3 linked regions of the Neurospora crassa OR74A genome follow. The protein of the gene in region 1 purifies or fractionates together with the protein of each later gene. This does not show direct contact. Links are inferred from orthologs where the notes say so. Each region holds a gene or a part of one and is shown in the gene's direction. Other genes may lie near its edges. The genes, in order: NCU16028, NCU02293 and cyt-26.

Region 1 (2,633 bases):
TGTAATGTAACTTAATATAATGTAACTGTAATGTAATATAATGTACAGTAATGTAACTGTAATGTAATGTTACATTACATGTAATGTAATGTAATGTATTGTAATGTAATCTTTATATGTAATGTACTAAAGATTACGATAGCTAGCCAGTTATATACTGGCTAGCTATCGTATGATTATTGTAGCCATTAGGGATAGCCTAATGGCTACTTGATTATCATTAGATATACTGCAACAGCAGTAAATACACTGTTGTCGGGAGCCTCAGTGGTATTTGCTGCTTTGCGGTGGTGGAATTGAAGAGGTTACTAGATTCTAGTTAATTTTTGATTCCACCATTGTATATATAATGATACAAGTAGCTAAAATAATAGGAACAGGGCTAGCTACCACAGGTTTAATCGGAGCTGGTATAGGTATTGGAGTTGTATTTGGCTCATTAATAATAGGGGTTTCAAGAAACCCTTCGTTAAAAAGTCAATTATTTGCATATGCAATTTTAGGTTTTGCTTTCTCGGAAGCGACAGGATTATTTGCTTTGATGATGGCTTTTTTACTTCTTTATGTTGCATAGTAATGATAGAGATTAGGAATAAAATGATGTATGGCTGCTTAAATAAAAAATATGGCTGCTCTTCCTGCTTAGCTAGCTAGCTAGCTTCGAGGGACCCCACGAATACGGCCCACACACGAAGGTGTGTGGGGTATTCGTGGGGGGCCCCCTCCTACTTCCTGCCTACGAAGTCTAGGCAGGCAGGAAGCAGCCTTAATAATTTAGCTAGCCATAATATCGCGACCACCCTCCTCCACTCAACCCCCCCCTTGGCGGCCCCCATCTTTCCCCCGCCCTGCAATACTGCAGGGGGGCATAATTAAATGTGATGGGGACCTTGAGCAAAGGAGGGGGTACGCGAGTGGAGGAGGGTGGTACTTTTTTGGGAGGGAAGCTGAGCGAAGCTGAGCGAAGCTGAGCGAAGTGAGCGAAGTGTGCGAAGCTGAGCGAAGGTAATTCATTTTTTTGGGCCCCCGCCCCGAAGGGGGCGGGGTCCCCCGAAAAAACAAAGGACGCTAGCGTAGCCTAACCTTATGAGCAGCAGGCTATAAAAACCCATTAGGCACAGGGTATACTTCGTTAGTGGATAAGAATTAGCCTAGCCTTAATATACAATACAGTTTAATGTTATATTTAAATTCTATATTTTATGAAAAGATATAATATATTTATTATTATGGTTTAATATTCAATATAGAATATTCTATTTCTTTTTTTATGGGATTATTATTTAATAATTTAATTATGAATTTTGATGCTCCAAGCCCATGAGGTATCTATTTTCAAGATAGTGCTACTCCTCAGATGGAAGGTTTAGTTGAATTACATGACAATATTATGTACTATCTGGTGGTAATACTATTTGGTGTAGGATGAATCTTATTATCTATAATAAGAAATTATATCAGTACAAAATCACCAATTTCACATAAATATTTAAATCACGGTACATTAATCGAATTAATATGAACTATTACTCCAGCAGTAATATTAATATTAATTGCTTTCCCTTCATTTAAGTTGCTATATTTAATGGATGAAGTTAGTGATCCTTCAATGTCAGTTTTAGCAGAGGGGCACCAATGATATTGAAGTTACCAATATCCTGATTTCTTAGATTCAAATGATGAATTTATAGAATTTGATTCATATATAGTACCGGAATCCGATTTGGAAGAAGGAGCACTAAGAATGTTAGAGGTGGATAATAGAGTTATCCTTCCTGAACTAACACACGTTAGATTTATCATCACTGCAGGTGATGTGATACATAGCTTCGCTGTTCCATCTTTAGGTGTTAAATGTGATGCTTATCCTGGGAGATTAAATCAAGTATCTGTTTTTATTAACAGAGAAGGAGTATTCTATGGTCAATGCTCTGAAATCTGTGGTATATTACACAGTTCTATGCCTATAGTTATAGAGTCAGTATCTCTAGAAAAATTCCTTACTTGATTAGAAGAACAGTAAGACGATAAAATAGTTTTTGGCTAAATAAAGGAACTCGGGGGACCCCACGAATACGGCCCACACACGAAGGTGTGTGGGGTATTCGTGGGGCCCTATGTATTTGAGTATGAAGCCATCTAGTGGTTATCTCTCCCCCCCTCCCCGCAGGTTTGCGGGGGGGGAGCGAGGGGGTAGCGATAAAAAGTTTCTAATATGAAGAGGATGACTTATGGAATTAACTCCACTCCCCCCCCCCTTAAGGGGGGGAGTGGAGTGGAACGGAATTAACTCCACTCGCTCCCCCCCCCGCAGGTTTGCGGGGGGGAGCGAGTGGAGTGGAACATCCGGGAGGTGGTGGGTTATATTATAAACAATATTCGGGGGACCCCGCCCCCTTCGGGGGCGGGGGGCCCATTAACTGGAAAGCACCCCCCCCTTAAGGGGGGTGCTTTTAATTATTATTATTTTTATAGGTTAATTAGGTTTAAAAGGCTACCCGCCCCCCCCCCTGCAGTACTGCAGGGCGGGGAAGGGTTAAAATAACAAGCAAGTTCCTGAAGTCTGGCGTAGCCTAGCGGAAGGAACCTTGCTTAAATCCAAAAACCTTTTAAAGAGTTACCAAGACTGAACC
Region 2 (3,754 bases), on another chromosome or scaffold:
ATCTGCCATGACCTTTAGCACTGCCGATGCCGCTGCCACTGGCGCCAGACATGGTGACCATTTCGTAATCCCCTCCTCCCAGATCGCCACGCGATCCCCGCTTGGTTCTCCCTCCTCCTCTTCCTCCTCCTCCTGTGATGAAGCCCTGTTCTTCGTCTCCTTGCCCTGCTCCTCCATCCCCGTTGGTAAAGTTGTTGTTGGTGGTGCTGTTCGTGGTGTTTCCTCCGCTGCCGCCGCCATGTCCACCAAAAGCAATAGGCTGCAGCTCTCTGTATCGACACCCCCATGACCCGAGCAAGAAGGAAGCCAGGGACGAAATGGCCATGGTCAACCACCAGGCTGTGTGGCGGGGTAAGGTGTGGTCGGGCGTGGTGTAGAGAGTGACGATGACGAGGTGGATGAAGTGCGTGGTGAGGGCAAAGTCGAGGATGAGCTTGGAGCGTTGGACGATGGCTGTTAGGGAGAGGGGTCTGTTTTTGGTGATACGTTAGCGAGGTTGATAGATCATCAAAGAAACAAAGGTAAGAGGGAGACAGAGGGAGAGTACTTACAGCACCAACCCGCCGACCAAACACCAGATAAAGCCGTTCAACCACCCCTGTGTGTTATCCCCCCTTACCGCCTCCCACCCGAACACCAAGTCCAGCGTGAAAGGATTTCCAGCTACGGCCGCCGTGAAGAACATGAGCACCAGGGCGGCAGTGTAGTAGATTGCTTGTAGCGCGGCGATCTGGCTGAGGATCTTGAGGGGCGGAAGCTCGGTTAGGGCGCCGGAGCGCGGGGGACGGCGGCGGCGGGGCATTGTGGTTGATGATGTTTCAAGCTGTATGTGATGCCAGATTCGGCTGAATGGTAGCTATGATTGTTCTCGATGGCGTTTCTATTCAGCGCAGTAATTGAACATGGAGGTTGGAACTTGGAGGTTGTCTGGGTAATTCGAGGGTGGTGTTCGAAGGGAGCTAGGTCGAAGGGGACCCTCGTTCGGTGTGAGGATTCCTGGGTGATTCGAGCATGTGGTTATGCAACAGCTCTTTGTTGCTGCTGTATCCTCCCTTGGTTCCTCGTAATGATTCTCCCCTAGAAACCATAAATGGAAAAGACTATGGAAAGATAGTATGTCAAAGTTTAGGTTTGCGACCACGGACGAAAGCCATCGTGTCACAACACAAGACACTCATCACAATGCAGCTGACAATGTCGTCTCCATTCAGTCCACACACGGGCAGGGGCTGACCCTGGTCCCTGCGTCCGCCCCGTCCGCTGCAAGATTACAGGGCACGTGCAGGGTTATCAATGGGGTGGAATCCAAATTTACCTACCAAAAGTCCGGGGGTTAGTGGTGGTGGGAGGGAAGAAGGAAGGTACCTGTATGTACTTCTGTACCTTCCATTTTGACCACCCACCTTGGATGGAAGCTCAGCTCGGGCAGCCAAGGAGCCCAGCACAAGTTGCCTGCCGCACAAACCTAAGCTCCAACTGAGGTACCTACCCGGTACATACCAAACTACTGATAGCGGGCCAAGAGCTCGATAAGCTTCCCATCCCAGAAGCTTGGCTCGGGAATCATTCGCGAATTCGATCCCAAGTTTCCCGTTTCCCCGTTTTCCAACCTACGTCCATATGTAACGGGAACCACTGCATACATCGCAATCAACACCTCGCTCCCAAATTCCACCCTTTGGTCCCGGCCCTTTCCATCTAAACCCAACTGAATCCTCCGTCTCCCGCCGTCCCGATACCGCCGGCTCCCTAAGAACACACCAAATCCCGACTCCAAAGCCGAAACGACCGCAGCACCGCAGCATTTCACAATGGTCCTAGGTCTCTTTGAACAATCCGAAGCCGACAAGCGCGCGGCCGAGGTGCGCGCGGGCACCGTTGCGCCTACACGCTCCGAGCGCCAAAAGTGCTGGATGGCGCGCGACGGCTACTTTGCTTGCCTGGACCGGAACAACATCATTGACGCCCTCAAGGACGAGAAGGCGGCCGCGAAGGCGTGCAAGGCCGAGAGCGCCGAGTTTGAGAAGGATTGCGCTGCTCAGTGGGTGAGTAGCATTTTTCGACCTATGTTTGTTTTTATCGATGCTTTTGGGGGACCACTTCTGAGCTGGATGATGGGGCTGGATGTGGTGGGGTTGGAGGTTTTGGGGAGGAGATGGGCAGGAGGAATAGGAAGAGGAGGATGAGAAAGAGGTATCTGGGACAGGCAATCGACAAGGAACAGCACTGCAAGCAGAGAATCTCCAACGCCCAGAAGGAGGGAAGGAAGGGATTCTAGAAAACAATATCAACCCTCCTACAGGAGAGCAAAACGAAAACAGCCAACAGCCAACAGCCAGCCAGCCAGGTCAGGCAACGCAAGTATAGGCATCTCAGACAAGACAGCAGCGCATACTATACACACACGCACACACACACACGCTCTCACCAGGACACACGCCAGCTAACCTCTCATTCTCTCCCATACAACAGGTTACATACTTCAAGAAGTGGCGCGTCCAGGACATTCAAAAGAAGGCTCGCCTAAAGGAGCTCGAGGCCCAGGGCGCCGTCAGGATGGACGTTAACACCGACTTCAAGGCCCGCGAGTAAATCGATGCTCTTCGGTTCATCCGATCCGGAACAATCCAATTCAAATTCGATGTCGTCTCTTAAAAGCGACTGGATGAGAAGACTGGGGGTGGGAGAAAGAGAAAAGAGGAGGGACGGTGTAAAGATAGTGTGTACTTGGTGTATGTACCGTATATATGCATGGGATAAGGCGTTTAAATTTGAGTCGATTGGGTATCTAAGGGGGAAATTCCGGTTTCCAACATTGGTCAAGTCGGGTTGTTTCACTGATATGGCCTGTTGGTTGAACAACGTTATGGTGAAGATGTTGATGGATCCTTTCGACCTAGTGAATGTTGGTTTATAGGAATGTCTAAAAGGGATATCAAGGTGCGTCCCTCCGATATCCAGACACCAACCTTCAATCTGCTTTCCGAGAGACAGCCACACCAGGAGTTCACTAACCAACAGTCAAGTCCTCAGCCGGTCAGGCGCCCATCAGTCTCCTGCCTCCTGGCTCGAATGCCTTGTAGGTGTATGGATAATAGTCTGAGTCGACCCCGAACGCTGCATCACTCCACCAACTACATCCTCGTCCAACTGCACCTCATGCTCGCCACGATCTACCGCGTCATCAGTAACCATGACATAATACCCAGCATGTCCGCAATGCGTGCATTCACAGGTAGACGGTGACGTGTCCGAAGGGTACCCATCACTCGAGTCCCCATCATTTTGGAGAGTGAGGTTGTCACCTCTTCCCTCCTCCGTCTCTGTCCACCCCGGACTTCCCCCGTCCTCCTGTGTACTCTTATCCTCCTCATTCCGACCTCGACCAAAATATTCCCCTTGTTCCCTGAGACATTGGTCCACGCGATTCAGATTCGGCGGCCATGAAAGCCGGGGGGTTTCCGCATTGGCGCCGCCCCCGGGACTCACGTCATCTTCGCGAGCCCCGGTAAACCTTGGGGATTCCAAATCGTAAAGACCGGGAGAACTCGACTGCTTTTCGGAAGGACTCTCATCACCCTCATCATCCTCTTGGTCGCCGTTGTCCCAGGAAGCGTTCCATATTTCTGACAAACGGCGAGACGCCGGTCTCTTCGCGCGAAATAATGATGACCCAAACGGTCCTTGAGCCGTAGGCGTCCCTGTGCCAGGTCGGGTAGCACCCTTACCTACGCCTGTTTGTTGTAGGGCGGGA
Region 3 (3,754 bases), on another chromosome or scaffold:
GGGGGCATATGACCGTCTAAATTTGAAGCTGTTCGCTAACACAACGTACAGGTAACCAGAAGGTGCCCGAGGAAGGCAAGTGCGGCCTCAAGTACGGTGTCAGTATCACTGATGCTTGTATTGGCTGGGAGGACACTGTCGCCACTCTCGACACGCTTGCGCAGGCCGTCAAAAAGAGGAGAGAAGTCCTGAGCAAGAACGCCGCTGCCTAAGTCATGCCAATTCCTGGTCTTGTTTGCTTTATGGTTTATGGGTCATTTGATAGGGGTTCACGAACCCTAAGTGAGGGATGCCGAATATATGCTGGCGCGGGGATGGGAACACAAAAGCTGACATTTCTGCATGTGGTGTGTTTTGATAAAGAGCGTGTATTAATGCATCTTGGGAAATGGCCGTCGAGACAATAGAAGATGGTAAAAGATGGAGCGGGTCTGGATCTCAAAACGAAACAATTACCTTGGATTTCTTTCGATGATAATCTCTAGGATCGTCCATGTTCGACTACAGTTTTGCGTTGCCTTTTTTTTTGGGGATGCAATTGTGGTGATGTGTTGGTGTGAAGCGTGATAGCCGTGGTGACCAAATCTGAGCTTCACCTGCGATTACGGGGCCACGGCATAGGTATGTATGTGTGGTGTATAGCTTCAAACCTGGCTTTCCTTGGCAGCTTTTCCTCGGCTAGGTCCGGTCACGCTGGGTCGCCGTGTGAGCTGAAAAGACAGAAGGGGCGGACCGCGGGCAGCGAGAGCTTGGACATTTATGATTTCCATGGGGCGATGCTGGCTGATGCTGATGCTGATACTGATGCTGATCCTGATCCTGATGCCCAGCTCCCAGCTGTGCCCAGTTGGATTAGTCGCTTGTGAAACTTCCACTTGCAGGTCGGGATTGGGCTCGCTGAGGTGTCTACCTTACTGAGCAAGGTAGTCTCAAAAAGCGCTGAGGCCCGCGGGCAGAATGAGGTAAATTAGTGCGGAAAATCCATCGGCCGGGGCCGAGGGGAAGTGTAAAAGCTCGAAAGGCTGCACGGTGATTGGCCCAGCCAATCAGATGGCGAGTGTTCCTAAGATTCCCGAAATTCAAGAAACCTACGGTCCTACCTACGACGCTACGTGAAGGGAATCGACCGACCTTGCACCTGGACGGACCTGCTCGACCTCCCGCCCGCCAGACCTGATACTGTCACCGACATTGCCAACCCAATTGGCCTTGTCCCCCGAACCCGCGATACTTTCCTAAAGCTTCGCTCAGCTTGCCCACCATGCTGGCGAGGACCTGCCTGCGCTCGACGCGCACCTTTGCCAGCGCGAAAAATGGCGCCTTCAAATTTGCCAAGGTTCGTCTCGATTGCTTCGACAACTCTTTCGTCCTCGTCTCTCTGCCCCTCCAAACAACAGATCTCGGCCGCATCGCCACTCGAATGGCTGGGTCTGGGCCGGCTTGAGCTACCGTCAACCTACTGCGAGCTCCCGGTCCGGGGCCCAGTTGCCCGACCATCCCCGCCCCGGCCGAGCCATCCTGTCTTGTCTCCTTCACACTCTCGCGCTCCTCGAGGAAAGCTAACGGACGTGCCCGGCAGCGTTCGGCTTCCACCCAGAGCTCCGGCGCCGCTGCCGAGTCTCCCCTCCGCCTGAACATTGCTGCCGCCGCTGCCACCGCCGTCGCCGCCGGCTCGATCGCCTGGTACTACCATCTCTATGGATTCGCTTCCGCCATGACTCCGGCTGAGGAAGGGTGAGTCCCCTACGATCGATCCGACCATCCGCCCCGCTCTAGCCGCTGGACCGAGGTCTGCCTCATGGGTTCTGAGGCATATACGACCGAGCTCGACTATAGGCATGAATCTGGGCATGGAGTGACTCGAAGCTTACCGTTGACGCAGTCTCCATGCTACCAAGTACCCCTGGGTCCACGAACAGTGGCTCAAGACCTTTGATCACCAAGCGTAAGCAACCACTCCTATCCAGCCCATTCGAGGCCGCGCCTCCAATCCAAAATGACTATCTGGCTCACGACTTTGTTTTTGCCCGACTGCAGTCTTCGCAGAGGTTTCCAGGTGTACCGTGAGGTCTGCGCCTCGTGCCACTCTCTCAGCAGAGTCCCCTACCGCGCTCTTGTCGGCACCATCTTGACCGTCGATGAGGCCAAGGCTCTTGCCGAAGAGAACGAGTACGACACCGAGCCCAACGACCAGGGCGAGATCGAGAAGCGCCCCGGCAAGCTTTCCGACTACCTCCCCGATCCCTACAAGAACGATGAGGCCGCCCGTTTCGCCAACAACGGTGCCCTTCCTCCCGATCTCAGCTTGATCGTCAAGGCCCGCCACGGTGGCTGCGACTACATCTTCTCCCTCCTTACCGGCTATCCCGATGAGCCTCCCGCTGGCGCTTCCGTTGGCGCCGGCCTTAACTTCAACCCCTACTTCCCCGGTACCGGTATCGCCATGGCCCGTGTCCTCTACGACGGCCTCGTCGACTACGAGGATGGCACCCCCGCCTCCACCTCCCAGATGGCCAAGGATGTTGTTGAGTTCCTCAACTGGGCTGCTGAGCCCGAGATGGACGACCGCAAGCGCATGGGTATGAAGGTTCTGGTTGTCACCTCTGTGCTCTTCGCCTTGAGCGTCTATGTTAAGCGTTACAAGTGGGCTTGGCTCAAGTCGAGGAAGATCGTCTACGATCCCCCCAAGGAGTCCACCACCCGCCACTAATTTAGCATTGCCACAACAAAGGGCAAAGTCATGACATTCACACAATAACCGTTGTGAGACGTGCGTGATTTTCCTTGTCTTTTTCTGTGTATGTATCATATACTATTGCTGCCCAAATTTTGCTCCCCCATGTTCCTCTTGCGCATCGGTCAGAAAGAGCAAAACGAAAAGGAATGGGCAGGGGCGGGATCGGTAACTCTGGGCAATGCGGAGATGTGCGGGCGTGTGGGTTGAACATGAAGATGGTCGTAGAGTGTATAAATCAAATTTTCTGGTCTCAAATACAACATAGACGTTATTGCCTGTGTCTGACAGGGTATGATGGTATGGGTATGACGGTCAAGCTGAACTTGCATGTGAGTGGATCAGGATACGGATATTACGACATGGGCATTTGAACGGATGCCAAAGAGTAAAGGCCATTTCCCTGTCAGCTACATCATCATGTACGCCTTTAACTTCGAGAGTAGTTGAGATATAGTATGAGCTTCGAAAGCCTTGACATTTCTCGATTGGCAATCTCTCTTTCACCGAATCACGGTAAATGTCAGCACGAAGTGCCACAGAGGATGCCCCTGGCTTGGCATTTGATTTGCCTTCCAAACAAAGTCTTGGCCCCCTCCCCTCCCTTTTCGATTCACTCACTGACAAGCAACAACATCTTGACCCCAAACTCATCGTGAAGTTTTCAATCACATTTTGATTCTACGATTGCTGGACACCACATATGTAAATCCAAAACTCTCCATCCACTGACAACCAGCAAAATGTCATCATCAAAACTATCACCACCCCAATCACAGGCCTCTCGCCTCCCATATAACGATGTCATGTCACCAGACCTCGCCAATGACATCCTCAATGACTTCAACGTCGACTTCTCCTCTTCCTCTCAAGACCGAGACTACCTCGCCTCGCTGCTTACCTCGGGTTTCGCCCCACCAGTTGAAGTCCGCAAACTTTGGGAACCGAGTCTCATGCGTGGAATGGAAGAATGGGAAATGATGATGGATTGTGCCCATTCCTTGAGGGATCAAGCTTATC

Evidence for each region.
Region 2: the proteins of NCU16028 (region 1) and NCU02293 purify together in Saccharomyces cerevisiae (affinity purification with western blotting; 3 studies listed by BioGRID, with this or other methods). This does not show direct contact. The link is inferred for Neurospora crassa OR74A from reciprocal best matches to the Saccharomyces cerevisiae genes COX2 and COA6.
Region 3: the proteins of NCU16028 (region 1) and cyt-26 purify together in Saccharomyces cerevisiae (affinity purification with mass spectrometry; 3 studies listed by BioGRID, with this or other methods). This does not show direct contact. The link is inferred for Neurospora crassa OR74A from reciprocal best matches to the Saccharomyces cerevisiae genes COX2 and CYT1.

The regions. Positions count from the first base shown.
Region 1 is NC_026614.1:58,259-60,891, forward strand, and holds NCU16028 (cytochrome c oxidase subunit 2), read left to right. Parts: upstream 1-1,270; coding exon 1,271-2,023; downstream 2,024-2,633. Other genes in the region: NCU16027 (ATPase subunit 9), read left to right, coding at 350-574. UniProt on the Saccharomyces cerevisiae protein: Component of the cytochrome c oxidase, the last enzyme in the mitochondrial electron transport chain which drives oxidative phosphorylation.
Region 2 is NC_026507.1:3,027,581-3,031,334, forward strand, and holds NCU02293 (hypothetical protein), read left to right. Parts: upstream 1-1,506; 5' UTR 1,507-1,811; coding exon 1,812-2,045; intron 2,046-2,472; coding exon 2,473-2,592; 3' UTR 2,593-2,940; intron 2,941-3,033; 3' UTR 3,034-3,048; downstream 3,049-3,754. Other genes in the region: NCU02294 (hypothetical protein), read right to left, coding at 1-470, 552-802; NCU02292 (hypothetical protein), read right to left, coding at 3,049-3,754. UniProt on the Saccharomyces cerevisiae protein: Involved in the maturation of the mitochondrial respiratory chain complex IV subunit MT-CO2/COX2. Thereby, may regulate early steps of complex IV assembly.
Region 3 is NC_026501.1:4,144,836-4,148,589, reverse strand, and holds cyt-26 (cytochrome-26), read left to right. Parts: upstream 1-1,027; 5' UTR 1,028-1,261; coding exon 1,262-1,336; intron 1,337-1,579; coding exon 1,580-1,734; intron 1,735-1,882; coding exon 1,883-1,945; intron 1,946-2,037; coding exon 2,038-2,710; 3' UTR 2,711-3,322; downstream 3,323-3,754. Other genes in the region: aro-7 (DAHP synthase), read left to right, coding at 52-212; mbp3 (methylated-DNA-binding protein3), read left to right, coding at 3,478-3,754. UniProt on the Saccharomyces cerevisiae protein: Component of the ubiquinol-cytochrome c oxidoreductase, a multisubunit transmembrane complex that is part of the mitochondrial electron transport chain which drives oxidative phosphorylation.